Alligator mississippiensis: one gene and its partners. The protein of the gene in region 1 purifies or fractionates together with the protein of each later gene. This does not show direct contact. Links are inferred from orthologs where the notes say so. Each region holds a gene or a part of one and is shown in the gene's direction. Other genes may lie near its edges.

The links.
Region 2: the proteins of TP53RK (region 1) and OSGEP purify together in Homo sapiens (affinity purification with mass spectrometry; 5 studies listed by BioGRID and IntAct, counting the BioPlex papers as one, with this or other methods). This does not show direct contact. The link is inferred for Alligator mississippiensis from reciprocal best matches to the Homo sapiens genes TP53RK and OSGEP.
Region 3: the proteins of TP53RK (region 1) and NUP43 purify together in Homo sapiens (affinity purification with mass spectrometry; 3 studies listed by BioGRID and IntAct, counting the BioPlex papers as one, with this or other methods). This does not show direct contact. The link is inferred for Alligator mississippiensis from reciprocal best matches to the Homo sapiens genes TP53RK and NUP43.
Region 4: the proteins of TP53RK (region 1) and GON7 purify together in Homo sapiens (affinity purification with mass spectrometry; 5 studies listed by BioGRID and IntAct, counting the BioPlex papers as one, with this or other methods). This does not show direct contact. The link is inferred for Alligator mississippiensis from reciprocal best matches to the Homo sapiens genes TP53RK and GON7.

What each region holds. Positions count from the first base shown.
Region 1 is NC_081832.1:15,801,777-15,808,568, forward strand, and holds TP53RK (EKC/KEOPS complex subunit TP53RK), read left to right. Parts: upstream 1-5,012; 5' UTR 5,013-5,029; coding exon 5,030-5,237; intron 5,238-5,623; coding exon 5,624-6,102; 3' UTR 6,103-6,219; downstream 6,220-6,792.
Region 2 is NC_081830.1:3,074,065-3,081,533, reverse strand, and holds the start of OSGEP (tRNA N6-adenosine threonylcarbamoyltransferase), read left to right. Parts: upstream 1-4,347; 5' UTR 4,348-4,356; coding exon 4,357-4,471; intron 4,472-4,544; coding exon 4,545-4,664; intron 4,665-4,740; coding exon 4,741-4,916; intron 4,917-4,997; coding exon 4,998-5,093; intron 5,094-5,384; coding exon 5,385-5,434; intron 5,435-5,671; coding exon 5,672-5,750; intron 5,751-5,855; coding exon 5,856-5,921; intron 5,922-6,159; coding exon 6,160-6,250; coding exon of another isoform or gene 6,251-6,266; intron 6,267-6,797; coding exon 6,798-6,873; exon of another isoform or gene 6,874-6,879; intron 6,880-7,231; exon of another isoform or gene 7,232-7,257; coding exon 7,258-7,356; intron 7,357-7,469. Other genes in the region: APEX1 (DNA-(apurinic or apyrimidinic site) endonuclease), read right to left, coding at 1-185, 998-1,190, 2,729-2,916, 3,003-3,063. UniProt on the Homo sapiens protein: Component of the EKC/KEOPS complex that is required for the formation of a threonylcarbamoyl group on adenosine at position 37 (t(6)A37) in tRNAs that read codons beginning with adenine.
Region 3 is NC_081824.1:129,004,483-129,012,055, reverse strand, and holds the start of NUP43 (nucleoporin Nup43), read left to right. Parts: upstream 1-4,119; 5' UTR 4,120-4,160; coding exon 4,161-4,280; intron 4,281-5,924; coding exon 5,925-6,047; intron 6,048-6,258; coding exon 6,259-6,336; intron 6,337-7,573. UniProt on the Homo sapiens protein: Component of the Nup107-160 subcomplex of the nuclear pore complex (NPC). The Nup107-160 subcomplex is required for the assembly of a functional NPC.
Region 4 is NC_081825.1:276,407,594-276,414,599, reverse strand, and holds GON7 (EKC/KEOPS complex subunit GON7), read left to right. Parts: upstream 1-4,351; 5' UTR 4,352-4,523; coding exon 4,524-4,728; intron 4,729-5,997; coding exon 5,998-6,110; 3' UTR 6,111-6,133; downstream 6,134-7,006. Other genes in the region: putative E3 ubiquitin-protein ligase UBR7, read right to left, coding at 1,056-1,116, 1,701-1,834, 3,922-4,101. UniProt on the Homo sapiens protein: Component of the EKC/KEOPS complex that is required for the formation of a threonylcarbamoyl group on adenosine at position 37 (t(6)A37) in tRNAs that read codons beginning with adenine.

The sequences.
Region 1 (6,792 bases):
ACTGGGATCATGGGCATAGCTGGAATTTGTCTAAACTAGCAGTTGTCTATAGGGTGCTCTTACAGAAACTATAATGTGCTTCTTGATCACACTGTAACATTTGCACTTTACACAAAGTACTTAAAGTTATAGAGCCATCGAAACCTAGCACACATGGGGCTCCTGTGCATGGGGGCTCAGTACCTCCATGCACTGACAGAGGCCAGGTGGCAGGGGGCGCTGTTGCCTGCTTTGTAAACTGGTCAGGGCTCCAGAAGCCCCCTGGCAGCTGTCAGTGTGGGTGGGGGGACCTGGGGGGTTATCTGCCCCAGAGCCAGTGTCAGGAGGCACCGGGGGTCCTCTCCCTAGGGGTGGATCTAGCCAGGGCCCGCCTCAATTGCTGGCTCAATTGCCCCCTGCCCGCACAGAGGCAGCCAGCGCGGGTGGAGGGGCTGAGTCCCCTTGAGCTCTCTGCCTCCTCCCTATGGCAGACCAGGGGGATGACACCTAACTCTCATAGGGAACTGTATAGACGTTCCCTAAGGAGCTCTAATTTAGAGCACTTTCATTTACTACCTGATTTAATGAGGGTTAATTTTTCACACATAGCCTTTTTAAAAGTGCTCTGCAGCTGTGCATATGTGATATGCCACAGCTGTAGAGCACGTTCAGGTCACATGAAAAATGCGCCAGGTCACATGAAAAATGTCACTTCTGTCTGATCCCCTATGTGGTCAGGTGTGAGAATCCCAGCCTCAGCCTGCTCCTAAATAAATCCTGGAAAAAGAGTTGTCTGTATAAATAGGAAGTGAGGGTGTCAATAGGAAGGAAGGGTGCTCAGTACTTCATGAGATCAGACTGTTTCTATTAGCTTGGCCTATAATAGGCCTGTTAGCATATCATATGTAGGGGTCTACCCGACTGGAGGAGGCCAGTTGATTTCGTGGGGAAATCGCAGAGCCGGCCACCATTTTCGTGGGCAGATTGTGATGGCTCCCCCCCTTCTGATTGGCTATGGGGGTCCCAGTGGCCCTGCCCCCCACTGCTGATTGTTGAAAAGGGGCAGGACCACATGACGGGCAGTCCACTCAGCCAATCAGGGGTGAGGGCAGAGGAAGCAGCCATCTTGGGCTGTCCTTTGTGCAGGTAGCCCTCCCTTCCCTCTTCTCCCATGGTGGACTGTGCAGCTGGGCCACAGCACTGTGAGGACTGCTGGCTCTGTCTGAGGAACCAGCATTTGATTTTCCCTGCCCTCCCCCCTGATTTTACAGGCATTGCCTACTTATGTGAACAATGCCGGATTTCACGTTTTCGGTAGGTCCGTAATCATAGGCCTATTAGCTTGCCCTATGATTTTAACTTGATTACAGAACTTGTAAAAGGGGGGTTCAAATAGATGTTTGTCACCCGTGGGAACAAACACATTCTTTGAAATTTTGAAGTCAAATTGTTTTTCATTCCAGTAAAAATATTAAGAGTAAAAAATAAGAGCTGTATCAAAGATTTATTGTATTATACATGAAAATGATAAGTGAAATAAATAAACAAATAAAATGGGGGGAATAAATAAGTTTTAAAAGAAATAAACATAAGATTTTATATAAATAATTAAATAAATATGCTGGGGAAAATAAAGCTATAAATGTTTTCTCCTAAGTATTTTGAAAACTCTGGAAGATGATTTTGGTCAGCAGAATACAAAATATCTTAGTTTACCAAATGAAGCAAATGAAAAGATTCTTTTGCTTTTGTGTATGTTTGTTCATGTATGTGCTTGTATGTATCCATGCATTTGAATGGAGATGCATTTGTGTATAAACTCTGCCTGCACTTGTATGAAAACTTTGAGTTCATTTTTAATGATATTTGCAAATTTGAAACATGTAGATACAAGTGCATTTTTTTTCTTAAGTGCTAGAGCATCCTGTGTAGGCTGCCTAGCTGAGACCAACAGGCTTGAGGCCAAAATAAGAGGTGGAAGAACCACAGGGTAGAGTTCTTTTATCATTTAAGCCTTCAGAGTGTTATTAAAAAGCTGTTACTGAAACAATGTAAATATTTGCTAAGCAAAGTCCCACCACATGATGCACAAGTAAGCTGTATGGAATGTATTAATAAAATAAAAAAAGATTTGGAAGAGAAACAAATGTTATGGATGGGAAAACAAGGACAAAATGGACTTGAGGCAACTCCAAGGGCAACAATCTAATTAGAACTGAATCTCTTGTATAGACTGTGTCTCATGAAGACCATAACACACAACCCTGCTAGAGTAATGGGTTTCAGTGTGCGTGGTGAAAATTCAGCTCTAGGTATTGGGACAGTGGATGCTATAACAAATTAAGTGGTTGTCTCCACTCTTCCAATTCAAACATCATCTGCAAAAGATAAATGAGTCATGTCATACCTCTGAACCCTCTCTTCATCTTCCACTGCCACACGATGCATAGAGCTTGTGTACATAGGGATACTAGTGTGTAGTGAGGTAGGGTGTGAATTTACAGTGCACTTCACTAACTCCCTGCGTGGACACTATCTCTGCTGAGGAGCAGGGCATATTAGTGTGGCCACTGTGCTGCACTAATGACATTATGCTAGTCTTGGTTCTAGAGCTGGCACATGCAGAGCTAGTGTGGGGTGTCTCTTGTGCCATATAGTCATATTATAAAAGGAGACAGCACACCACCCTCCGCTGTTTTTGAGTAAAAATGGCTGTGGCTGCTGTGCTTTGGGCTGGCAGCATGTCAGGTGTGCTTCAATAGGGATTAGGCTCTTCGGAGGAGGTTCAGAGACACCTAGTGTGAGGATCTCAGACAGAGGAATGATTTAGGATGCTGAGGCATGTTATAGGTGTTGAGGTGCTCAGCTCAGACAAGACAGCAACACTTTTTGGCCATTTGCAATAGCAGAACTTTAGGACTTTACTAAGTAAATGAGAGTTTGGACAAGCTGAGATTAGACAAGGTATTCCAAAACAAACATTTGTGTAACTTCGGCTGTGCTTATTAATCCTGATACCATCTTTCCCAGTAGGAAGGAGGGTCATATCTAACTTAGACCCTAATGCTGAAGTCGACTGATCACAGTCAGACTGATCTGATGGCAGAGATTTTCATTGACTTCAGCGTTGCTCCACGTGGTCTAAAGGCCTGTATACTACCAGGGAAGCTTTGTGTGGTACATTTTGTGCCCCGGATACTCAGGGCACCCCATGCCAGTATCGCATACTACTGCTAACAGGCCAGATTGTCATCAATTCAAGAACGATTTCTACCATGGGTCTTGAGTCCAATTCTTGAGCCAGCTGTGTCTGCCGTGGAGGGGGGGGGGCAAGGGGGGGGAGTCGGGGGTCAGGAAATGACTAGTGCAGGCCTGGCTGTTAAGCTGCTGTGTTACCAGTTACCAATCAATCAGGGACCAGCTCAATACACAGTTGCTAGCTAATGTAAGCAGTTTATTAGCAACAATTAACACCTACAAAACCACAGACAGACCAAGGAGAGGAAATAATCAATACAGACAATCAACTGCCCCAAGACAGAGACAGCCATTCCCACAAGCACCCATGTCATGAGTGTTACCTGTCAGCAGCTAGGGGTGCAGGGCCCCAGAGCCCCAAACCCCTGCACCGATCTCCTCGACACCTGGCAGGCTTTGCAGCTGCAACAGGGGCCACCATCCCTGCAGCTTTCACCCCGCTGCGCCTTAACACACGCAGTGTCACTCATGTCACGAGTTTTGCTTGTCCGCAGCTTGAGGTGCAGCTTCCCCCAAACCCCTGCACCAATCTTCTTGAAACTTGGCAGGCTTTGTGGCATCAGCAGGGGCCACCACCCCTGCAGTTTTCACCCCACTGTGGTGTAACACATAGACGTGACATGAGTTTTGCTTTCAAGAATTTGGGGTACAGTTCCTCCCAAACTCTTGCACCGATCTTCTTGAAACTGGGCAGACTTCAAGCTCTCAGCAGAGGCTACCATCCCTTCGAGTTTCATCCAAATCAGACAAAAAACAACAACGTTATAGATATTTCATTGATTCATTATACCCTATGGCCCTTCGGAGCCGCTTCGGCTGGATCAAAGCAGAAACCCGGTCCGGAGCTCTGTATCAGATCGCTGGTATCCGAAGTGGCCGGATCCGAAGCCGGATTGAATAGCTGCCGACTCGCACAGGCTTAATGCCCAAGCCCGGGGCTCCAGCATTTCTCGGGGGGGGGGGCTCAGTCAAGGCCCTGGGACTGCGCTGGGAGACGTGGGCACAGCTGCAACTTTGGCAGCCGGGTTTTGGCAAACAAACATTTGAGAGCTGAGCCGTGGTGCAGTCTAGTGAGCACCTTGGCCACTGGTCCATGCTCTGCATTGGCCACAGCCAGAGGAAAATGCAGTGGCTGGCAGAGGAGGCCGACCTGACACTTCTCCCTGGGGCAAGCGGCGGGAGCCACCGGCCATCCCTTATTAGCCATGTGTGACCCAGCCAGCACAGGGGGGGGGGCTTCCAAAGAAAAATGGTTTGGAAGAGAAGCTAGGGGAAAATGGGCTTGAGGCACCAATCTAGTGGAAGGCAACAATCTAATGATTTACGTGGAGTGAACTGAATCTCTTGTACAGGCTGCGTCTCGCGATGAGGAACATAACACGCACCCTGGTAGCGTCATGACGGGTGTCCGTGCCTGCGGTGCCAATTCAGCTGCAGGTGCCGGGACAGAGGATGCTATAACACATTAACCGGTTTTCATAGATTCCTAGACTGTAAGGCCGGGAGGGACCTAGGGAAATCATCGCGTCCAGCCCCCCGCACGGAGCAGGAAAGGTGTCTCCGCTGCTCCCGTGCAAACATCACCTGCCACAGCCGAACGAGTCGAGCCCGAGCAGGGCGGAGCTGCGCCCCGCCGCGCCGACACTGGGGGCGCACGAGCTCCTCCCGGCCCCCCACCTCACGCTCGGCTCTTTTCGGCAGCCGAAGAGTCCCGAGCGCGTCACGTGGTGCGGAAGCCCCGCCCCGCCCGTGCCCGGGGTGCGGAGCGCGCAGGCGCAGTAGGGCGGCTGCCATGGCGGAGTTGAGGGTGCCGCTGCCGGGCTCGCGGCTGGTGCAGCAGGGCGCCGAGGCGCGGCTCTACCGCGGCTGCTTCCTGGGCCGCGCCGTCGTGGCCAAGCTCCGCTTCCCCAAGCGCTACCGGCACCCGGCGCTGGAGGAGCGGCTCAGCCGGCGGCGCACGGCGCAGGAGGCGCGGTCTCTGCTGCGCTGCCGCCGCGCAGGTGGGGGGTCCCGTCTCCATCACCAGCCCGCGAGGCTCCTGTCGGGCCGCGGGACCCGCTTCCACCTGGTGCCCGGCTCCCTGCCCCCTCCCCGCGGGCCTGAGGGGCCTCCCGCCGCGCAGGACGGGCCCAGCGCCCGGGGAGGGGAGGGGAAGGGAAAGGAAGGGGTGATCCTGCAAGGATGCCCGACAAAACTCCTCTTTGTAGTCGGGGCGTGCTCAGATCACACCCCTTAACCTGGTCCTCGGGCTCTGACGCGGTCAATATGAGCCCTTTTCCATCTTCGTTGCGTGCGACTGGGCAGGGTGGAAGTTGCTCGGGAATTTCTGTGCCCTAAAAGTTAGCACCTCATCAATCCTTTTTATTTATTTATTTATTTTAAATAGGCATTTCTGCACCAGTGGTATACTTCGTGGATTATGTCTCCAACTGTATCTATCTGGAAGATATTGTAGGATCGATGACGGTTCGGGATTATATCATTTCTGTACAGCAGCGTGAAAAGGATGCTAGCGGCCTCTTTACCTTAGCAGAGAAGATAGGCGAGGTTTTGGCTCGGATGCACGATGAGGATCTTATACATGGGGATCTTACGACGTCCAACGTACTCTTGCGGCCGCCAGCAGAGAAGCTTGACCTCGTGCTGATAGACTTTGGACTGAGTTTTATATCTGGCCTACCTGAGGATAAAGGGGTTGATTTGTATGTCCTGGAGAAAGCCTTTCTTAGTACTCATCCAAACACAGAGGCTCTGTTTGAAGCTCTGTTGAAGAAATACGCAGCTATGTCAAAAAAATCGAGCCCAGTGATCAAAAAATTGGATGAAGTACGACTAAGGGGAAGAAAGAGATCCATGGTTGGATAGAAGCAAGCAGACTTTGTGGAAGGGTGGGGAAATGACTTCTCATGTTCTGCAAAGGTCTCCAGTGGCTTGTATTCACTGTTTTGGTAACTTTCAGTCCAATAAACCAGTTTAATACAATATGACTCGTTTTGTATAGCTACCTAATATGTGGTCAAAGTAACTAAGTCAAAAACTGGTGCTGTGAATACACAGATAAACGGGGGAAAAGGGATGAAATGTTTCCCTTTTTCAAAGAAAAGAACTAAAGCACGTAGCATTTTCTCGCTGCTTTACATAGAATAAATACAACACTCAATGCTAGTATTATCAGGCTTGAAGACTTTGGCTTTTCATTTTCAAATCAATAGTCTTTCCTTCAGCAAATAGTCTGTTTAAACCAGTAATAAAATGGTGCCAGGGTACTTTGTTAAAGGTATTCCCAGTTAAGCAAAAAGTATTTTGTGACTTTCCTTTCAGATAGTGGTCAAACAAGCAAGCAGTATCCTATCCTATGAATACTATTTACATTTTTGAGAACTAGGAATATATAAACAGTAATGGCCTGCCTGGATCAAAGCAGAGACTTTTTTTCTAAGTCTCTAATGACATCAACCTTCTCCATTTCTAATAGATCACTGCTGTAAGCCAGGAGTGTGGTAATTAAATCTTAGTACATAAAAAAGACATTTCCATCCCTTGTATAAAAAAAGA
Region 2 (7,469 bases), on another chromosome or scaffold:
ACACAGGATGAGGGGCTTGCGGGCATCCAGCCCTTTCAGGTAGGCCCGGAAGGCAATATCCCACTGCTGGCGGTACTCCAGGCGCACCAGGCCCCGGCCTGCATTGGGCACGTAAGCGGTAACAAGGAAGTGCGAGGGGAACTCGGCTGTGATCACCCGCCCCTCCTTGTCATGCTCTTCCTCGCCTGTTGGGGACAAGTGGGAGCAGAGGTCAGAAAGGGCAAAAGGAACGGTAGGAGTGGGATGCAAAGGCACGAGAGTAAGGAAGGCAGGAGTCTCTGAGGGCACATGCAGAAGTGGTTCAGGGTCAGAAGGGACAAAGGACATAGGATGGTAAAGGTCAGAAGTTGGGACACAGGTCAATCACAAAGGTGTCTGGGTAGAGTTGAGCTCAAATGGTCAGGGTGGGTCCTTGAATCCGAGGCAGAAAGTAAAAGGGAAAGATGTAAGGCTTGGGGAAAGTGATCTGAGAGCCAATTAAGAGGGAAGTAAAGGGACAGTCATGGGGTAAAGGGAGGAGGGACAAAAGTCAAGGCTGTTCAGGCTAAAGTCGAGAGGAGAAGGCTCGGTGTACCAGAAATCACATGGAAAGGTCACCAGCAGGTAGGGTTCGATGGGCAAACGTTTGGAGGCTGGGGGCAGAGAAGTTAAGGGACCGCAGACATGGGTCCCACGCTCAGAGGTTGAAGAAAAGGAATGCAGATACGAGGGTCAAAGTCGGAGATTGCAAGCAGCTGAAAGGTCAAGGACAGCAATCACCAGCTTAAAGAGGTGCACAAGGAGGCCTGGCCACAGGAGCAGGCAGCATGGTTTTTGCCCGAGATGAGAAAAGGATGCCTAGAAAAGGCAATTAATAAATAAATAAATAAATAAAAAGGGAATCAACCAGAGGGTGAGGGAGAAGAGGTGATGGCGCATGGCAAGTGGGCTCCAAGGGGAGCACTGGGGTGCTAGAGGATGTCAAGGGTCAGAGATGGAAGCGGGGGGAGGTCCTCACCAATGCCATAGGTGACATTAAGCGGCTCAGTCTTGGAGAGCAGGGCCACCCCGCTATAGCCTTCCTTGTCATCAGAGCAGGCCCAGTACTTGTGTGGGTATTCGGGCATGTCCCGTATCTCAGGGGGCAGCAGCTTCTCTGCACATTTTGTCTCCTGTAGGCACAGCACATCCGGGCCCTCTTCGCGCACCCACTGTGGGGAAGGGTTGGGTTGGTCAGGGTGGCTGGGCAGGGCTGGGCTGGGCTGGCAGCCAGGACTCCTGGCTTCCAGCCCCAGCCCAGGTCTCTAAATCTAAAACACAGAAACCTATTTCCTAGACTCTCCCCGTCTCTGCTACTGCGGCCCCCTTCCCAAGCGTCCTCCTGGACTGTCCTATAAACCTCAATCCCGTTATAATCCACCGGACTCCGTGCCCCTTCCCAAACTAGGCCCTACCCCTCTTGTGGCCTCGCTGTGTGTCATCCTCCTGCTGTAGTGCTAGGTGTTCTTTTAATTGCTCTGTAGCTAAGGCTGCGTCGCTGAAACCAGCCCCATGGGAGCAGAAAGCCTCATCTCCTTTGCTCTCAAGACAGGTTTCTTATATTGTTGAGGCTGTGTTGAGAGCGAGCTTCTAACCAGCATAAGACCTGACCTGACTGTACCTGTATAATAGTGCATGATAGCAGCACGGCTGGGAATATCCTCCCCCTCCACCTCCTCGTTAGCTCTAAAGTACATTGGAAGGGTTTTTTGGGGGGGAAAAAACAAAATGATATTTTTTGGACAGCAACTGCAGCAGGAAGATTGAGATCCAAGATTCAGAATTGATCCCTCCCACCCCTGCCGGCCGTTCAAGAACGTCTAGAGGCCAAATCAATTTGAGGGGAAAAAAGGGGCAACTTGCCCCCCCCACACCCAGGACATGACTGCTCGTTCATTAAACCTGGTGGCAAAAATCAAGAAAGGGGGTGGCCGAGAGAGAGCCCCAAACGTCTAAAAGTCAACGTTTACCAGATTTGGGAGGGAGGGAATATATTTGAACTGTAAATTCAAAACCAACTTAATAAACTGAGAGGCTGATTTATTCCTAGTTTTTAACTGCACCCCCAACCATCCTATTCCCCAAAACGTTGTGGGCCAAAAATAAAAGTTAATAAGCCAAGTTCTCCTTCTGCACGTCTCCAAAACACACACGAGTTACTGTTTCTACCCTGAGAGGGGAAATGGAGGAGCCAAGGGGAGGCAGTTTGAAGGCAGCACAAACAGGAAAGAGACCTGCAGTGTCCCGTGACCCCAACCAGGGCTCTGGCTACTAGGCTACACCATAAAAGGAAATTGTTCTTGGCTGCTGCAGCTCCGAGCGCTCTCAAGCAACGCCACTGCCGTCTGTGGGCCTCGCTCCATGCTCGTATTAAAACCGAACAGAAACCAGCTATATAGCGTTATGTATTTCCAAGCACTGACTGGATACCAGCAACCATAGTTGGAAGACGGAGATCCTAGATTCAAATCCTCCCACCTCTGCCGGCAGTTTGAGAACGGCTAGAGGTCCAATCAATTTAAAGGGGAGAAAAGGGGCGACCTGCCCCATCTCTCGATAGATGCATTTTGAACGGCAATTACTCTGCACCTTCAGCGGGGCCAAATGCACGGCTCGGTTCACCGGTTACTTGTGCGCTAAGTGCTTTGCAGCTGGGGCCGGTTGCACTTTGAATGTATGTACTGCGCGACTCTCCCGTCTCGGCTCTTACCTCCAGCCCCTTCTTCTTGAACCACGCGCGGAGCCCGTCCACGTTCCAGGAGGTGACCTTCAGCGTGTACCTCTTCCCGCCGGGGGAGGCGAGCTTGTCCGGGGGGTCCTGGTAGAGGATCGGCCCCTCGACGGCCTTCTCCTTGGCGCCTTTGGCTCCTTCTTTCTTATTCTTCTTCGCCTCGGGCTCTGCGGGGAGAGAGGGCGGGGGGCTCCAGCGCTCGCACGGCACAGCACGGGACGGGGAGCCACGGGGGGACGGGGAGGACTCTTACCTGGGACCTCGGGCTCCTCCCCGCTGTCCCCTCCTCCCTGCTTCTTCCCACGCTTGGGCATCTCGGGCCACCCGCAGCCACGCCGCGGCGCCAGGAGCCGACGGAGCTTGCTGAGAGCCTGCACTGGGGAGAGGAGGGGGCGGCGCGGTGAGTGCTGGAGGACGGGGGACCATGCACCCGGGCGCCCAGGCTTGTCCGGGGGCAGCAGGGGGGAAGTGGCCACCCCGTCTCCTGCTAGCGGCTCCCCGCTTCCTCCCCCACCCCACATGGGCTGGACGGGCAGCGGGGCCCGGGCCAGCCCCCCATTGCAATGCCAAAGCCCTCTGCTCCCCAGCCAACCACCGCAGAGCACCCGCTCCCCGGCCAATCACCACACAGCACATGCAGAACACCTGCTCCCTGGCCAATCACCGTGCAGCACACACAGACCACCTGTTCCCCCGCCAATCACCACAGAGCACTGGCAGAGTACCCGCTCCCTGGCCAATCAACGCCCAGCACACACAGAACACCCGCTCCCCGGCCAATCACTGCACAGCACACACAGAGCACCCGCTCCCCCGCCAATCACCACGGAGCACTAGCAGAGTACCCGCTCCCCCGCCAATCAACGCCCAGCACACACAGAACACCCGCTCCCCGGCCAATCACTGCACAGCACACACAGAGCACCCGCTCCCCGGCCAATCACCATGCAGCACGCAGAGCACCTGCTCCCTGGCCAATCACCGCGCAGCACTCACTGAGTACCCACTCCCCGGCCAATCACTGCCCAGCACACACAGACCACCTGCTCCCCCACCAATCACTATGGAGCACTAGCAGAGTACCCGCTCCCCCGCCAATCAACGCCCAGCACACACAGAACACCTGCTCCCCAGCCAATCACTGCACAGCACACACAGAGCACCCGCTCCCCGGCCAATCACCGCGCGGCACACGCAGAGCACCCCCTTCCCCGGCCAATCACCGCGCAGCGAGCGCCAACATCCATTCCCTGGCCAATTGCCGCCCCGCGCGCGGAGCAGCCGGGCCCCGGCCCATCCCCCCCAGCACCCCGTGCCCGGAGGAGCCGGGACGCCGAGCACGTGCCCCGCGGCCCGCTCAACCCCCGCGCCCGGCTCCCGGCACAAGCGGCCCCCCAGCCAATCGCAGCGCGCGGCACTGCGCTCCCCGCCCCCCCAGCCAATCGCGTGCCCGCTTCCCCCCGGCGCCCCGGCTCCCACCGGCGCTGCAGCTCGGCCCGCGCGGCCGCACAAAGACCGGAGCCTGCACGTGGGCGGTCACGTGGCCGGCGGCGGGGGGGCGGGGCCTTGACGTCAGGGGCGCGACGTGACGTCACGTGAGGTGGGCCATGCCGGTGGTGCTGGGCCTCGAGGGCAGCGCCAACAAGGTGGGCGTCGGCCTGGTGCGCGACGGGCGGGTGCTTAGCAACCCGCGCCGCACCTACGTCACGCCCCCGGGGCAAGGTGAGCGCCCCTCCCCCACCCCCCCCCTCCATGCCCCCCACCCCCATGTGACACGCTGTGGCCCCCATGGCAGGGTTCCTGCCCGGCCACACCGCGCGCCACCACCGCGCCTGCCTGCTGGAGCTGCTGGCCGAGGCGCTGCGCGAGGCCGGCCTGCGCCCCTGCGACGTGGACTGCGTGGCCTTCACCAAAGGTAGGGCGGGGCGGCCCCCGGGTTGGGCTGTGCCAAGGCGAGCGGACACTGATGCGTCGCCCCGTCCCCGCCGCAGGGCCGGGCATGGGCGCGCCGCTGGCGGTGGTGGCGGCGGTGGCGCGGACGGTGGCGCAGCTGTGGGACAAGCCCCTGCTGGGCGTCAACCACTGCGTGGGCCACATCGAGATGGGGCGGATGGTGACGGGCGCCCACGACCCCACCGTGCTCTACGTCAGCGGCGGCAACACGCAGGTACGGTACACCCCCTCCCCCTCCTCCCCGGCACAACAGCACCCGTGCGCCGTCCTCACCGACGTCTCCGCCCGCCCCCAGGTCATCGCGTACTCGCAGCGCCGCTACCGCATCTTCGGGGAGACCATCGACATCGCCGTGGGCAACTGCCTGGACCGCTTCGCCCGCGTGCTCAAGGCGAGAAGGGCCCCTAAACCAGTTAGAAAAGTCATATTTATCCGCCCCCTGCGGCCCTCGACGGCTTGCCGAACCTCGATTCAGATCCAGGGCCGTGTATTTGACGCCCGTGTGTTAATGTAAATGCCCCGCTTCCTGCTCCTGTGAGTTTTTGGGGGATACTAACAAAGGCCGAGGGCGAAGAGGATAGTGCAGAGGTTACTTATGGACGGGTGGGAAGAAGCAAGGAGGGCCATTGACTTAACTGCAGTCCCATCGGCAAACTTATCCCTTCTTTGCTGTCTGTTTTAGATCTCCAATGACCCCAGTCCTGGCTACAACATCGAGCAGATGGCAAAAAAGTGAGTGGCAAGGCACGAGGCCTGGTGGATTGGACCAGGTGGGGGGCAAGGCCCAGCAGCTGGGAGCCTCCCCGCAGCTGCCGAGAGACGCTGGCGGAGGGGGTTACGGTGGGGTAGAGCAGGGGAGGCCGGGAGCTGAGATTCCCCCAGCGTTTCATAGATTTCATAGACATTAGGGCTGGAAGGGACCTCGGAAGATCATCAGGAGGGCAGTAAGACGGTCTCCTCTCTCCACAGAGGTCAGAAGCTGGTGGAGCTGCCCTACACGGTGAAGGGGATGGATGTGTCGTTCTCAGGGATCCTATCCCACATAGAGGTGAAGAACCCATGAGTCCTGGCTCCAAACCACTAGATCCCACTGCCCGTCCAGATCTGGGGGATAGGATGCAGCAGGCCTCACTCCCTCTCTCTGCCCCTGCAGGAAGTGTCTCATAAGATGCTGGCATCAGGAGAGTGCACCCCTGAGGACCTCTGCTTCTCCCTCCAGGTGAGAAGCTGCCCTGCCCAAATGAGGGCTGTGGGTCAGGGGAAAGAGAGCCCAGAGCCGGGCTAGCAGTGACTGTGGGTCAGGAGCAAAGGGCACTGTCATGTCCTGTCGATCCCAGCAGGAATGGGAGGCAGTGCCGGGGCTGGGAAGCGGAGGAGGGAGCCTGGGCCGGCGGGGAGCTGCTGGAGCGTAGTGAGGGGCAGTGTTGAAGATGCGTACATCGTATCCCTCACCCCAGGAGACGGTGTTTGCGATGCTGGTGGAGATCACGGAGCGGGCCATGGCGCACTGCGGCTCCCAGGAGGTGCTCATTGTGGGCGGCGTTGGCTGTAGGTACCTGTGGGGGTGAGGATGCATCGCACAGCTGGAGATCTACCTCCCTCCCCCAGTCCTGCTTGCTCCTACGGCAGTCAAGCCCCCCAGTTTGCTGTCTTCCCAAGAATCCCTTCCAGACTGCACCCTCTCGATCCCCAGCACAGAGCACCCTGGGCGCGGTGATGCCAAATTCCCTTCTGCGCACATAACCTGCAGCTAAGCACCTGCCCCATGAACAGATCTCCGCATGAACCCCAGAATTGCTTTGTCCCCAGCAACAGTTTTCAGTTGCTGTCGTACCCCTCTCCGCCTGCCATTTTACAGGGGTCTCTTAGCTACCCAGGATGCATTACTGGATCTGTCATGTACCATGTCATCCACATATGGGGGTGAGGGGACCTGGAAATAGGCTATGATTGGGAGGGCACTTGCCACCGGTGGCACCAGGCTGCCCATTTGAATGGAGCTGAAGTCACTCTGACTTGTGTCACTTGTGGCCAGTGATTTTACACAGGAACCTTGACCCGGCTGGACTCTAACCCTGCCCTCTCTCCCCACCAGGTAACCTGCGGCTGCAGGAGATGATGGGGATCATGTGTGAAGAGAGAGGGGCCAAGCTGTTTGCAACAGATGAGAGGTAAAGACCAGCAGTGAGCAGAGGCAGGCCCTAGCATGTGCCACACCACAGTGAGCAAGCTCTGTGGTTCAGGGTTCCCATCAGGCTGACACACAGCTTTTTGGCAAGAGTGAAGTCTGCCCTGTTCAGCTGGAAACGAGGAAGGCCCTCAAAGTTATGAGGGCTTTGGGGTCCTTACCTGTCCCCCACATCTAGAGCCAGTGATGAAACCTGGGAATCTAGGCCTTCAGATTGCACCACTCCTCCCTTCCTGTGTAACTGTAGGCTGTACTCCCTTCCCATAGCTGGGGTTGAGCCCAGGAGCGTTGCCTTCTGATCCTTCTCCAGCCCTTTCGACCCCACTCTCTGCTGCCTCTAGGAGCTCTCGCCTCTCATCTCACCCAGGTTCTGTATTGATAACGGGGCCATGATTGCTCAGGCTGGCTGGGAGATGTTTCGTTCAGGACAGGTGACCACGCTGGAGGATTCCTGGATTACACAAAGGTATGGGATGAGGGTGGCATGCAAGATACTTCCAGCAAAGACAGGGAAATATCAGTGCTGTTTATTGCATGGTCCCTTGGTGAGACATCATCAGGGCTCTGGTGTGTAGTTGT
Region 3 (7,573 bases), on another chromosome or scaffold:
AACATCAATAATAAAATCTCAATTACTTGAATTAAATCTCTGTCCTCTGACAGTCAGATAACTCCTCTAAGGTTTGATTTGTACATGTGTTCCTAGATGTCAGTGTATAGGCTAACATCTGCTGCTGCTTCCTTTTAAGCTGGCCAGCCTTGGGGAAACTGGCTTATTTTCTGTAATCAAGGGAACTGGCCAGCTGGCTCTAAACTCTGCACTAGGATCACAGGAGACCTACTTCAAAGCCTATTGGTCCAGTCCACTGATTATGTGAAGACATCTCTTGTTTAATGAGACCTCTGAATAATGAAGCATGATTTTCCTTAATTTTAAAACTGCTCCTTTCTGCAAATTTTGTCAAAAGGAGAGTGAATTCGCTTGAGATGTGTGAGAGAGAGTTCCTCAAATCGTTACATCTCTCTTAGTCTCAATGGTTTTGTATAACCTGATTTGTGAGGGTATAATGCAGAATTTTTGTACTGTCCACGTTAGCCTTCTGTGTGATGGCTGAGGAAAGAGATAAGGAAGATTATTACAGGTAATAACTTCAGAACAAGAGTACAGAAGAGAAGCTTAGTTATTATAAAGGTCACTGGCTATAGTGCATTTAAAGAGGGATCTTGCGAAGGCTTACACATATGCTTAACTGTATTGCAGTCTGAGCACAATGATAAGTCTTTGCAAAATCAGGGTCTTGGAGAGATGGGGATAAAAATAGAGGTGAATTTGCAGAGTGTTATTTGTGCCATTTCAGGCATATTCTGCCAGCTTTCATGACTTCAGAGTTGTATTAAAAAAGGAAGTGTGAAGGGAAAAAAACAATAGAATTCTATTTTCCAAGCTGGGGATATCAGCACCAGAGTGGCAGGGGCACAACTAAATCCTCTGCAGTTATTTGAATGCCATAAACAAATAATACATTTAGTCAATAGATTTACTATTATTTTAATACATTTTGGAACTGAAAAGGAAGGAAAGCTAAGACTGTTTTATTGATGTACACTTCAGTGAAGCAAACAAAGTACAATATTTTTACTAGTTGTTTTAAACGTTCTACAGTCACAAATCACCTGTGTGCCAACAGAGTAACCATTCTTGTGCATGTTCCTGGGTAAAGCAAGTCAGCTGTTAATTCTGGATGGGTTTTATTTCCTGGTAATATTTGTTTAAAGGATAAGGAGAATATCAGTTTAGATCCATCATCATTTTTCCCTCAGACAGATCATTCCCAGCAATCTGAAGGGATGCTCTAATTAGTCATTTCAGACAGACAAAAAAGACCAAGAACTGTGGTCCACTGTGCATGTAATCTATTAATGAAAGGTGCAAAGAAGGCAGAGTTGCTCAGTGCTTTTCCTCAGTTTTCACAATAAAAACAAACTGTGACCAAACAGTTAACAAAATATAGACAAAGAAGGGGAAGGACTATAACCATAAGTTAAGAGCACATCTGAAATCTCTTGACAAACCTGAATTAAAGTCATCTGGACCTGACAGAATTTATCCCAGTTTGCTGAAGGAACAAGTTGCAAAAATCTAGTTCTGACAAAAAGATTTGCTAAATCATAACTGACAGGTGAAGTCCCAGAAGGCTAGATACAGGTCAACATACTCCCTCCCAGAAAAGTTGCCAAACTAAATTATAAAACAGTCTATTTTATAAGTACCTAAAGGAAGAAGGGGTGGTTATTAATAGCCAACATAGATTTGTTAAGAACAAATACAGCAAAATCAGTCTGATTTCCTTCTCAGCAGGGAAGGTAATTTGACAGATGGAGGGAATGTAATGGACATAATATATTTAGACTTTAGAAGGGCTTTTAGGTATGGTTGTATATGAAATTTTCATAAGTAGACCATCTAGCCCACATTTAGGTGGGTATAATTGGCTGAATGACTGCAACTTGAGAGTATAAATGGATTAATGTGAGAATGGCAGGAGGTTTCAAGTGGGGTTCCACAGGGATCTGCTGTAGTTTAATATTGTTATCAATTATTTGAAAGTAAGAAAAAGAGTTTCCTGATCAAGTTTGCAGATGACAGAAAACTGAGAAGAGATGCAAACACTTTGGAGGACAGGATTAGAATTAGATTTTGATTGCTTGGAGAACTGGGCAGTAGGCAACAGAATAAAATTCAACAAGGATGAACAAAGTGCTACACCTATGGAAGAAAAAAACAAATGCATAATGGGACATTGGCTGGGTAGTGCCATTGCCGAGACATATCTGGGGATTTTGGTGGATCAGAGACTTGCCATGACTTGGCAATGAGATGCAATCTTCAAAAAAGCATATGTAATTTTGTGCTGCATTACTAGGAATCTAGTACATGTATATATTATTACCAGGAGTATAAAAGACATGCAAAAGAGATCTTACCACTCTATGCAGTGCTGGTTAGGTCTCAACTACTGTATTGTATGCATGGCTCCACAGTTTTAAGGATGTGGAGAAACATGAGAGTATCCAGAAGCAAGTGACAAAGATGATAAAGCAGTTGGCATGCAAGCTGAAAAAAGGTTGAGAGAACTAGGTATGTTTAGTTTGGAAAGAAGAAGATCAAGAGGGGGAGCAGAGGGGAACCTGATAATAGTTTACAAATATTCTAAAAGGCTGCCATAAAAAAGAGGGAGCAACTGTTCTTCCATGCTGCAAAGTATAGGACACACAGCAGTGGACTTCAATTGCAGCAAAGGAGTTCTAAACTAAAACCAAGGAAAAAAACACTTTAAGTGTAAGAACAGTAGGCCGGTGGAAAAAGCTGCTCAGGGAAGCTATGGTATCTCATGCAGTGGAGGTTTTCAGGAGGCTGGATCAGTGGCATAACTAGGGTGGGGTAGGACAACAGCCCCACGTGCCAATGCAGGGTGCCAGGAGCATCACACAGCACTCTGCAGCTGCTGGGTGCTCGACATTGCCCCACGCTCTGGAGCCCAGCATCCTCCCCCGCCCCTCCCCGAGGTGCTGGGCACCATTTCTGCCTAAGATGCCAAAATTGCTGCATAAACCTCTAAGCTGGATGGTCTGGGAATAGCAAATCCTGCATAAGGACAAATGATTGGACTGGATATCTCTTGAGGTCTCTTCCAGTCCATGACTCTAGGAGAATTTTCCAAGTTGGCTTTTTTATTGTTTTTTACATCATAACCACCAATGAGCCCACACTGGAGTCTGTGGTCTCCATCTTAGATGAGGTCAGTCAGTTGCACTTAATCTAAAATAAGGAACTCATCAGGAAATTAGTGTGGACTTCAAATGCTTGTTCCAAGACAGAAATGAGTACCAGAGAAGGAGGGAAAAAGTGGGAAAGAAGCCTTTAAGTTGCTCTGTAAAATATAAAGGAATAAAGGAGTATATAACTATCCATCATCTCAGATTGGGCCCTGCCTGCTCTCCAAGGTATATATATATATGTGCTTTCAGAGGTGGATCCAGGGCTGGGGGGTGCCCTGGCACAATTCTGATTCCCACTCTACCCAGAGATTAAAACCAAGTGCACGGCAGTGGCAGCTGCATGTTTAGTCAGGCAGTGCTGGGGGGTCTGTTGACTTCATGGCTCATTGCAATGCACCTGACACCCTGTAAACCCTTCCCTCCCTCCAGGGTGTTAAGGCCCCTCTGCTCAGCAGCCCCCACGTTCAGCGACCCCGTGCTGGGCAAGGCGCTGTAAGGTAGCGGCTCCTGGGGACGAAGCTCCCATTTCACAGCCTTGCAGGCTGTTTGGAGCTCATACCAGTGAAGTGACATCTGCTTTGGCTTCAGTCTTCAACGGAGTAACAACTCCCGGCCCGCGACAGCTTCTCGTTTACGGGTAACGGGAGCAAAACACACACGGCGTCATCTGCACCCACTTTCCCCGAGCCTCGATCCGCCCACGTCCTCTTTCCGCCGCATTTCACTGTCACCTCTCCGCGCCTATCGCCAATGCTCCAGCTGCCGGCAGTGCGGACTAACCTCCGCACGCCTCCCCTCTCCCTCCTTGCCTTTCTCTGGGGCTACGCAACAGCCAAAGACCCCGCCCCCTCCCGCAGCCTCTCGCCTTTTCCAGAGGCAACATTTTGTCCCTACTCGCTTCCGGTCTGCCGAGACGGCTCCCGGCCAATGGGAGGGCGCGCTTAGCGGCGGAAGAGGCGGGGCGGTGTGGGGTGGCGGGCGCGTGCAGGCATGGAGGATTTGTGCGCCAAATTCGTGTCGCAGAAGCTGAGCAAGGTCCGATGGCGGCCCGTGCCTGCTACTGCGCTGCAGCCGCCAGAGCTCTTCGCCACCGGCTCCTGGGACAACGAGGTGTGGGGGCGGGGCGCGGGCCGCCGGTCCTGGGGTGGGGTCGGGCTGGCGCCTGGGAATGAGGGGACACGGCTGTGACCCTGGCCCTGCTCTGGGGGCAGCCCCGAGCTCCTGTCTTCCTCGGGACACTGCAGCTCCTCGCCTTGTTACAGCCGTGTGGGTGTGCCTGGTCGCCCCCGCGCTTCTCCCGGCTCGCTCCCGTGTGTTTGTGTGCCCTCCTGTTGGGGAGGGGGGTGTATGTGAACGAATCCTCCTATTGTGGGGAGGGTACGGCCCTGTAAGGTGTCCGTGCACCTTCATGGTTATGGCTTTTTCTTCTGGGTAGAAAAGGTTCAGCCTCTTAGTTAATTTACTAAGTAGGTTTGTTGTTAAGAAACATCCATGCACCTCTGCAGGCTGGGGGCTGGCTAGTTGGGCAGCATGTCTGCAGAAAAGGACCCAGGGGTTACAATAAGCTGGATATGAGCTAGCAGTGTGCCATTGTTGGGAAGAAGGCTAACAGCATACTGGGCTGCATTAGTAGGAGTGTTGTTAGCAGATGGAGGGAAATATTTCTTCCCCTGTATTCAGCACTGGTGAGGCCACATCTGGAGTATTCTGTTTAGTTTTGGGCGCCCTACTACAGAAATGGTGTGGACAAATTGGAGAGAGTTCAGACGAGGGCAACAAAAATGGTTATGGGGCTGGCGGACATGACTTCTGTGGAGAGGTTGAGGGAACTGAGTTTATTTAGTTTGAAAAAGAGAAGACTAAGAGGGGATTTGATAGCAGCCTTCAACTACCTGAAGGGTGGTTCCAAAGAGAGTGGAGTTGGACTATTCTCAGTGGTGGCAGATTAGAGCTATGATCAACAGTCTCAAGTTGCACCAAGGGAAATTGTGTTTAGATATTGGGAAGAATTTTCTCACTAGGAGGATAGTAAAGCACTGGAACAGGTTACCCACAGGTGGTGGACTCTTCATCATTAGAGGTTTTTAAGACATGGCTAGACAAAGCCTGGGCTGGGATGAATTTGTTGGGAGTGGTCCTGCTTTGAGCAGGGGGTTGCACTAGATGACCCCTGAGGTCCCTTCCCTCATTTTCTACAGCTCTGTGATTGGTTACTTAAAAAGCCCATTAGAGTGATCCCACAGTTGTTAGCTGCAGCCTCTGCCTCTATTAGCAATTTTCTAGTTTCAGCCTTTCATTCAGTTGGCGATCCCTTTATCATCCTTCTTGTCTCTATACCAGCTTTCCCTACAGAATGTGTTTCTGGCAGAGGAGATCTGGTTTACCCAACTGACTTTTTGTTTTGGTTTGTTTTTTTTTGCTGTCTTGCATGCATAGGAAGCAAAGTCCTACTGGTTCTGAACTGTCAGTCATTGTCAGCTGTTAAAAGCATTTGGATCACAGCAGGTCTTTTAGCCCTCTTTAGTCCCTTTGCTCCTGGTGTTCCTCAGCTTTGTCATTGACTATTAGAGCTCATCCTGGAGTGTTAGCTCGTGATGTCTGATGGTAGTTTTTCTTAATATTGGTCCTTTATTTTTCCTTTTCTTAAACTTGACTCTTGAAAGAGGTTGAAAGCTTTGATGTATTGACAAATTTGTCCAAACCTTTTTCCAATAAACTAGCATCACTAATCTAGTGATGCTTTTTCTCCTACAGGAAAACAAGATTTCCATTTGGTCTGTTGGAGATGCTGAAAGTGTGTGTCCCAATGGGGAATATCAAGGAGAACCACAGTTGTTATGTGATATCAGACACTATGGTGATGTTATGGATATGCAGGTAAAATATTCAGTGTTATTAAAATGATTATAAAAAGAACAAGTGGATGCCAAAATATTGAAAGTCAAATAATTTTTCTGAGGAAGGGGAGGAAATACATTTTTCAAACATTAATTTATGTGTATGCTCTGAAATCTAGACTACTGTAATGCCAAACCTATTTCTGTGTTGTTACATGTTCATAGTAGTAAGCTTAAGTATTTCTTCTTAGTTTTTGGATCAAGAGAGAATTGTAGCTGCTTCATCAACTGGAAGCGTAACTATATTCCGTCACCATCAAAATAACCAGGTAAATAACTTGTTCTGGCTATAAGTTAAACTTTGCTTTTTGCCATTTAAGCTTGTAATGCAAGTTGCTTTAGTGCTTGCGAGGAAAGATTCCTCAGGGGAAAAAAAATAAATCATGAAGTATCTGAAATTCTGAGTACTAAAATTGTGAAGAATTACAAACCACCATTTTTAAAATGAGGAGAATGGTACCATGTCTGTCTGGTTTTTTTTGTGCATATATGGAGCATTTCGTTAATTATCTGATAGACTATTCACCTGGGGGGAAGCATGTGCCACAGATTCTTTTTCTGTACTCATGTCACCAAATATGCTTACAGCTTCAGTGAATGGACTATAAATACATGACTTGATTCAGTTAATGGTGACTATTTCTGATTCTTTCTAATGATGCTTATTTTTTATGAAAGAATACCATCCTCCGTGTGTGTGTTGCCATTTTAATTTAGTTCTTGCTACTGCATAATAAAATGAACACAGAAAGGGTTGTTATTTTGGCAGTTGCTTTTCATTACTGATATTAAGTTAGTTTTTTAAATCAAAATCCAATTGCAGGTTAAATCCTGTGAAGAGACTGGATCCAGGTAAATGACCATCACGGGTCAAAGAAGATTCCCAGCTCATAAAAATAAATGGTGTACTTGGTTACCTGAGGAAGGGGAGGAAATACATTAGGCATTGAATACTACACCTCAGTCCACATTTTTTTTTTTTTCCCTGTTTATATGATAAAACATTGGCTATCTGAATATTGGTTAAAGTGCACAAATTCATAGGAACTCCCCAATGTACTTAGTAATGTAACTGCACTCATTTAACTATGTAATTGAGGACTCCTCTAATCAGTTCACCAATTTCATTTGGTTTCAAGACAGCTGTTGAAGACCTATGGTTAGGGGTCTACCTAAATTGCATTGGTATTTACTAATTTTCAGTGGTTGATCATGACAAAGTTCTAATTCTGTGGTCATTTTGTAGCAGCCCTGGCCCTCAGTGTTGATTGATTGGTAGAGTGTCCCCAGTGTGGGGAGGAGGGATGAGGGGGCAGCAGCTGTCTCTCCTGCTGCCCTTTGTGTTGCCCTGCCAGCTGGCACCTTCCCTTCCACGGCAGTGAGGACTGCTGGCTCCCACTGGGGAGCAAGCATTTAAATTATTTTTGTTGTTGTTGATTTTGGACAATCCCAGATCTTTGCGGTTTCCACACAACCTGCCAAACCGCAAATTAAGTAGATCCCTAT
Region 4 (7,006 bases), on another chromosome or scaffold:
ATTTGAGTGCTTACCTCCCTGCAGAGGGTCCAAGCAGTGGGGCTAGGGGAGTGGCTAGGTAGGGAAGAACCTGAGCCTGCACTAATCTCCTCATACCTGCTTATCTCCTCGCATCTCAGGGTACCCTTCGAAGGGTTTTGCATCAGCCTGGGGTGCTATAGCACCCTGGCTGAGAATCATAAAACCATAGATAAGTAGGGCTGGAAGGGACCTCCAGAGATCATCTACTCCAGTGGTTCTCAACCTTTTTTGTACCAGGATCCATTTGTAAACACTGATGGCCAGTCCTGACCCAGTGCCCCTCACTCTTGACCTGCAGTGTGCAGGGCAGGGGGTGGGTATGTGGGACAGAGGGGGCCCCAAGCATGCCCTTGCAGGCTGGAACCCTGACAGCCTGCAAGGAAAAAGCTACAGCTTCTCATATTTTTTTCTTTAAAGGAGAATCCATTTTTACAGGTTGTTCACAACCCTCCCTTTCATATATTCTAGCGACCCACAGATTGAGAAACGGTGATTTAGCCCAACCCCTGGAATCAATGCACTACAATTTTATCCAAACAAACCTATGAGTTCTGAACCTTCAGTTCTGCCCATACTTCTCAATATTTTACCAGTGTTTTAGATTCAGTGCTGTAGGGTCTACTGAACCGCATGTTCTTCCCATCTTCCAGAATGGAATTCAACACCTCACTCTGCTTACTGGTAACAGTAAAACCATTCTAAGTCATGTTCTTTAGGACCTGTACACAAGCTAACCCAGTTTAGCCAACTTATGTGACTGGTACCCAAAGAATTTAATTAAAACTAGATTTTAAAAGTTATAGCCTGTCTCTAGCAACAGCTGTAAGTCCTGGTTTTGCTGTGCAAATCTTAACTCTATACAATGCAATGAACCCATTTTAAACATAGCTTCTGTAATCAGTTCTCTTTTGAGAGTACATTGGTTTTTGTGACAGAAAAAAACACAACTAAACTCTCCTACTTGGAGAAGCAATACTACCACCAGCTTTTATTATTCTCTACAGAATGAAGAAGATAGCAATGTTTAAACTTACTGGAAGTAATCTGCATTGCAAATTTTTGAATTTGCTGTTTCCACAGTCACAGCAGAAGTTTCTGGAAAAAAAAAAATATAGCAGTTCAGATATTTTTTTAAATGTCTCAAAATGATTTTATTTTTATATTTTTAAGGGCTTCCCACTGCCAGCTGAGAACTAGAACATACTCTCATAAGCTAATTCACAATATCATCTTTTAGAACTGATCAAAGTCCAGCAGCATTACTCCCTCATGCTAACAGCCTGTCAGATTTCAGTATCATTGTCAAGTAGAATCACTATTCAATTGGGATACTCTTCCGGCCCATGTAATTATTGCTGCCGAGAATACTCTTAGGCTTATGGGTAAGCATATGTGTTTGAAAGACAGCGACTGTGAGTTGACTTGAACCTGGAGGGGATCTGGGACAAAAGCACGATAAACCAATGTAACCTAAATCACTTAACTGGTTTATCTTAAACCAGTTCTGGCCATTTTGAATGTGGTTTATGTGCACTGAACTTCTGCTGTTACAGATTTAAACCGGTTTGTGTGTCATTTCTGTCCCTAGACTTACAGGTATACGCCATCTTCAATATTGCATTTTACTGCTTCGTGATGTAAATGGAAGTACCTCAGAAATGGCCCCAATAGTGCTTTACCTTTTTGTATACAATTCAAACAGCTTGTGTGTTCCATGACACTCATAACTGCAGGCTAAGCATATCCCTGCCGGTTCTTCTCCTGGCGGAGTACAAGTACTGCAAGCATATAAAGCTTGTCTCTTTACAGCACCCTACAAAGAAACAACAGATATAAAAAGAGAGAGAGGCACAGAAATAATCTGAAAAAGGTCATTTGCTGTTTGACTGAAGTAGTAAATGCAGTTTGTCATAAGCAAAAAGCAAGTTAATGCTGATGTGCAAGCTAGCACCAGAGGTTCAGAGAGAATCAGTATTTATTTGGCAGTATCTTTTACTAAATTAACCGTAAAGTGGGGAAAGATGTTAGACAAGCTTTTGTGCACAAAGTGCCTGTCTTCAATTCTGGGCAAACAGCAGGTACGTACAGCCTGAAGTAAACACCAGGTAAAACAAGAATCTTTTTCATTTACACAATGGAGTTAAACAACAGCACTTAATAAGTAGAGAGGTAATTAGCATCTGACAAAGTAGACTGCTGCCAATGAAGGCTCATGCCTCTTTAAAAGAGTTGGTCTCTACAGTGCCACCCTGCCCTGCTGATGAGACTTAAAGGAAGGGAAGACAGCAGTAAGCCTGTGGCATTAAAGGAAGCCATCAAAAGCAGCTACAAACCAAGAAAAAGGCAGCTGAAATAAACCTATAAATATATAGATTTGTTTATTTAGATTCACCATTTATTTTCACCACAATAATACCAGGCAAAAGGGGGGAGACTAACGGGGAGCAAATAAATCATAAGCTGTAAAACTACTGTCTGCGTTCAGTCCATAGTTTTAGTGTCCCATAAAACCCTGTGCCTGAAAGCTTACTGAATCTCAATAAAAAATATTGCAAAACAAACCTTGTTTCTCTCATTCTCTGAAGAGAATCCCAGCTCAAACGCTAGAACCTTGCTACAAAACAGAATGACAGCATTCACAGTGCAAATGCACCCCGTTTAACTGCACAGTGTTGGGACTGATAAAAGGGTCCGTATTTACCCCCATCTCAATGTCGATAATTACTCATTAATTACAGGAGCAAGTGAGCTAAACTTTTTGCACCTCAAAAAGGTTTCTTATCTTGTTTCTCAAAACACCTTATAAACAAACAGCCTTAAAATTGGCAGGGCCTAGTAGGCTTGAGCTTGCCTTAGAAGCCTCGAAATGGACAGCTCCCAGCCAGCTTCGATCATGCAGTTAAACCCTGTGCAACTAACTTACAAAGCAGAGGATTCCCATGCACTTAAGCAGCTAATGCTTTTAACGAATACGTGAATAGCTGATGATCGTTTCAATGTAAGTAACAGGTAATAAACTGGGACTGACCCTGCGCTTCACAATTAAGCTAATTATGCACTTACGTGATATGCACACCCATACAGGATGCTTGAAAACTTTATGAATAATATCTCATAGTCCCAAGGGCTGACCTCCAAGGCACTCTTCAAAAACACTGCTTACTAAAGCCTCCCTGGCAGGTCGACCCTTTTTTGCAGGCAGGCCTCAAAATAGCTCAGCCACTTCCTCAAGTGCCACTTTAATCCTCTTCCCCTGCCCAATTTTTCTGATCCCAGCCCCAGCCCCAACCCCTGCATGGCCTTCTGCTCCCTGCCCTGCCTGCCACGGCGCTGCCCGTCCCCTCCCTGATCTGTCACGGGGGCTGCTAGGGCCTGTGCTGCAGGCTGGCCACCCCAATCTACCAGCTGCACCTCTTCCCTTGCCTCGGCCTAGCTTCACACTGCCCCAGCTCACAACCTCTCTCTCTGCTCTTTAAAGATGTGAGGTGGGGCTGTGGCATGTCAAGTTCTGCCACAAGCTACACGACACCCACTGACCAGCCTGGCGGTCACCTCTCCCTCTTCAGGGAGGAGGAAAAGCAGGGGAAGACCAGGGCCGTGGGCCCCACACGCCCCTGTCCCTGCCTCCTGCACCCCGGTTCTCTCCACCTGGCCACCACACCCAGGGGATGGCTCCCCAGCCGTCAGCCCTCCACAGGGACCCCAGGGGCCAACAATCCTGCCTGTGAGCCCTGGCCGGGCGCGTGTGAGCAGGGGGGGGGGGGGCAGAGCTCAACATCGGGGCACTGGGGGGGGACTCCCCTCCAACCCTCTCCCTACCCCGCCCCCCAGCACAGGCCCCTTCCCCGGGCACAGGCCCCGCCCCGTTACTATCCACCTGCCCCCGCTCCGCCCCCTCACCTGCGAGTAGCTGCAGCGCTCGTGGTCGCTCCCGCCCAGCACCGCGCGCGCCTCCTTCTCCAGCTCCTCGTTCTCCGCCAGCACCTCGGCCAGGGACACCACGGGCTCGTCCGGGGCACCCGCGCAGCCGCTGCCACCGCCGGAATCCGCGCCCCCCGCCGCTGCCGCCGCCTCCTCCATCGTTGGACCCGAGCGCGCAAGGCGGGAAACGCCGAACCACCGCCAGGGGGCGCCGCGGCGGAAACGGAACCGCGCACCCGTCACGTGACGCAGCCGGTGGCGGGGACTCGGAATGTGACCCAGGCGGGACGGGAGGGGAGGACACTCTGGGCAACCAGTCACAGAAGGAGAGGGGGCGGGGCTGGCCAATGGGACGCCAGGGGGAGGGGCGCGGCATGTGACGCGAGGGGGTAGGCCAGCCTCCGCCACGTGACCGAGGAGGGGTGGTGCGCGGGGCTTGGCTGCCGGAGGACGAGCAGTTTGACGGCCGTTGGACCTAGGCGTGGGCCTGCCAGTGATGACGCCTTCCGGGGGAGCGCAGTTCGGGCGCTGATTGGCTACGGGCGGTGCCGCTCCAGGCCGGTCCGCGAGGGGGAGGGGGTATGGAGCTGCGCGCGGAGCTGACGGGGCGCGACGGACTGAGGCAGCCGCTGCGGGTGCGCTGCGAGCCCGAGCCCGGCGTCGGGGCGGGCGGGGAGCTCCGCGCGCTACGCCGGGGCCTGGCCCAGCTGCAGGAGCAAGTCGCGGCGCTGCTCGGGCCCCTGGTGCAGCAGGAGAGCGGCGCCGGCCCCCGCGGGGGCGCCCAGGGTGAGCGGGGGGGGCGCGGCTCGCGCGTTCGGGGCACGGGGGCTGAGGAACAGCGCAGTGTCTGCTCGCGGCCCTGGCGCTCGGTGCGTGCGGGAGCGCCTGGTTCACCGCGTCCTAAATGTAACGTGTGCCGGAACCCGGAGCGGAGCGGGTCCCTGCTGGGCAGGTGGTGGAAGGGCCAGAGCCCAGGCAGCTTGTCCAGGGAGCGTAGGGGGGCTCCCACCACTGTACCCACACCAGCTGAGGCCCCAGGTGGCACATGCTTCCTGCATCTGCGCGCAGCGGAGGCAGCTGTCGTTGTGGGCTGGGCTTTGAGGGAGTGGGCAGGGGAAGGCCCTGAACAGCCAGGGCACAGGATGGAGCAGTAAGTGGCTTGTCTGGGGGTGGGGGGACACAGCCTAGGAGGGAATGGGAGGCATATGCAGGGGACAAGCAGGAGCTGGGGGGACAAGCAGAGGCCCGGAGGGCACATGCCCTGGCCCAGCCAGGGCCCTACTTCCCCCAACCCCTGCTCCTGTCTGTGCCCTGGTCCCTCCCTCGCTGCGGGGGGCCTTGATCTGCCCCTTCCCCCACAGACTTACCTGATGAAGAGCCACAGCCCCAAATCATTTTTTCTCTCTCTGCCTCAATCTGTTCCTCCCCTTCCTTCCCCATAGATTGACCTGTGGGGGGAGAGGGTGGCACATGGTAGATCTTGAGTTGTTTTTTAGTTCAAAAAGTGATCTCCTACTTAAAAAGGTTGGAAACCACTGTTAGAGGATGGTTTCAGGTTGGATGGAAGGAAGAACTTGTTTACGGTAAGGGTCACCAGAATCTGGAGTAGACTTCCCAAGAAGGTGGTGCAGTCCCCAACCTTGGAAGTCTTCAAGAGGAGATGGGACAGACACCTTGCTGGGATCATTTGATCTCAGCAGTACTCCTGCCCAGAATAGGGGGTTGGACTTGGTAATCTTTTGAGGTCCCTTGCAGCCCTTTATTTCTATGAGAAAAACCCAGAGGTTGCTAATAGGACTCCATGGTGCTAGAAACCTGACCTGCTGTGGTCTTTTTGAGTACTTTGTAATAGGATAATTTGCTCTAGTGTTTTTCTGTAGTCTAGTGCAAACTAAGACCTGCCAGTTTCCGAGGGGTGCCTTGGGTCTAAAAAGATTTGAGAACAGCTGATTTAGAGACTCTCCGTCTTCAGAGCCCTCTGGTTCCCTCACCTCAAAACATGGATTTGCAAACACTTCTTCTGTTACTAACCTATGTATTGTAACCTTTTACAAGGTGATGTTGGGGAAGAGGAAGAGGATGAAGATGAGGACCAGGAAGAAAACAATGTTGACAAAACACATTCAGATGAGCCACCCTTAAAACGGACAAAAATTCAGCACTCCTGACTGTTGCCTTAAAGACTCCTTAGCATTTTAGAAAAAGACCCAACAGTTCTATCAAATGTATGTTTAACTGGACAGTCTTACTTCCGGGGAAAAAATGGAATATTTTTGGAAGCCAGGTATCCGCATTTCTGTTCTAAAATACAACCAAGCTGAAGAGAAATACCATTTTGTTTTTCTAGTATTTAATTTTAATAAATAATCTGACAAAAGAAATAAGGGTGGCTTGTTTTGGGTTTTTTAAATATTTTTAGGTAGATGAAAATTATTATTTTAATGTTGGAGAGAAGAGAACATGGAACGTAAATGTCAAGAGGAGCTTCTGGCAAAGACATTGTACACAAACAGTTGTATGTTTTGGATACTCCCTGAGCATAAAACAGTCTAGAGCTGTTAAAGGAACTACTCCCAAGCTCTGTATTTATTTGTATCACTTTTAAAATTGACAAACTTGGAAGAAAAAAAAGACAGTTTATGTACTTGAAATGGTAGAAACAATAAGCTAACAATTACCTGTGAAGAAGTTGTTAGAGATGTATATAAAATAATTTGAGGATTCTAGACTGGCTTAAATACATAAGCAAGGAAATAATTTAAAAAAAATTGCTTTAAAAAAGCCTACAAGACAGGAAGTCACTGGTGTTCAGGTATGAGGTATGTTTGTGTTTGGCAGTTGATTTGACAAGATACACGGACGTCTTCGATCAGGACTTTGCCCTCTACCACAGTTCAAATGCTAATTGTGAAATGTTGACATGATTTGCAGTGGATCTTTTTAAATAAGTTTGGTTTAAACCAGAATACATAAGAAACGCAAGAGTATGGTTTTACTTATGTAATGCCAACTTCAGTGACTTGGACGAGGGAGTCAAATGTACTCTGTCCAAGTTTGCAGATGA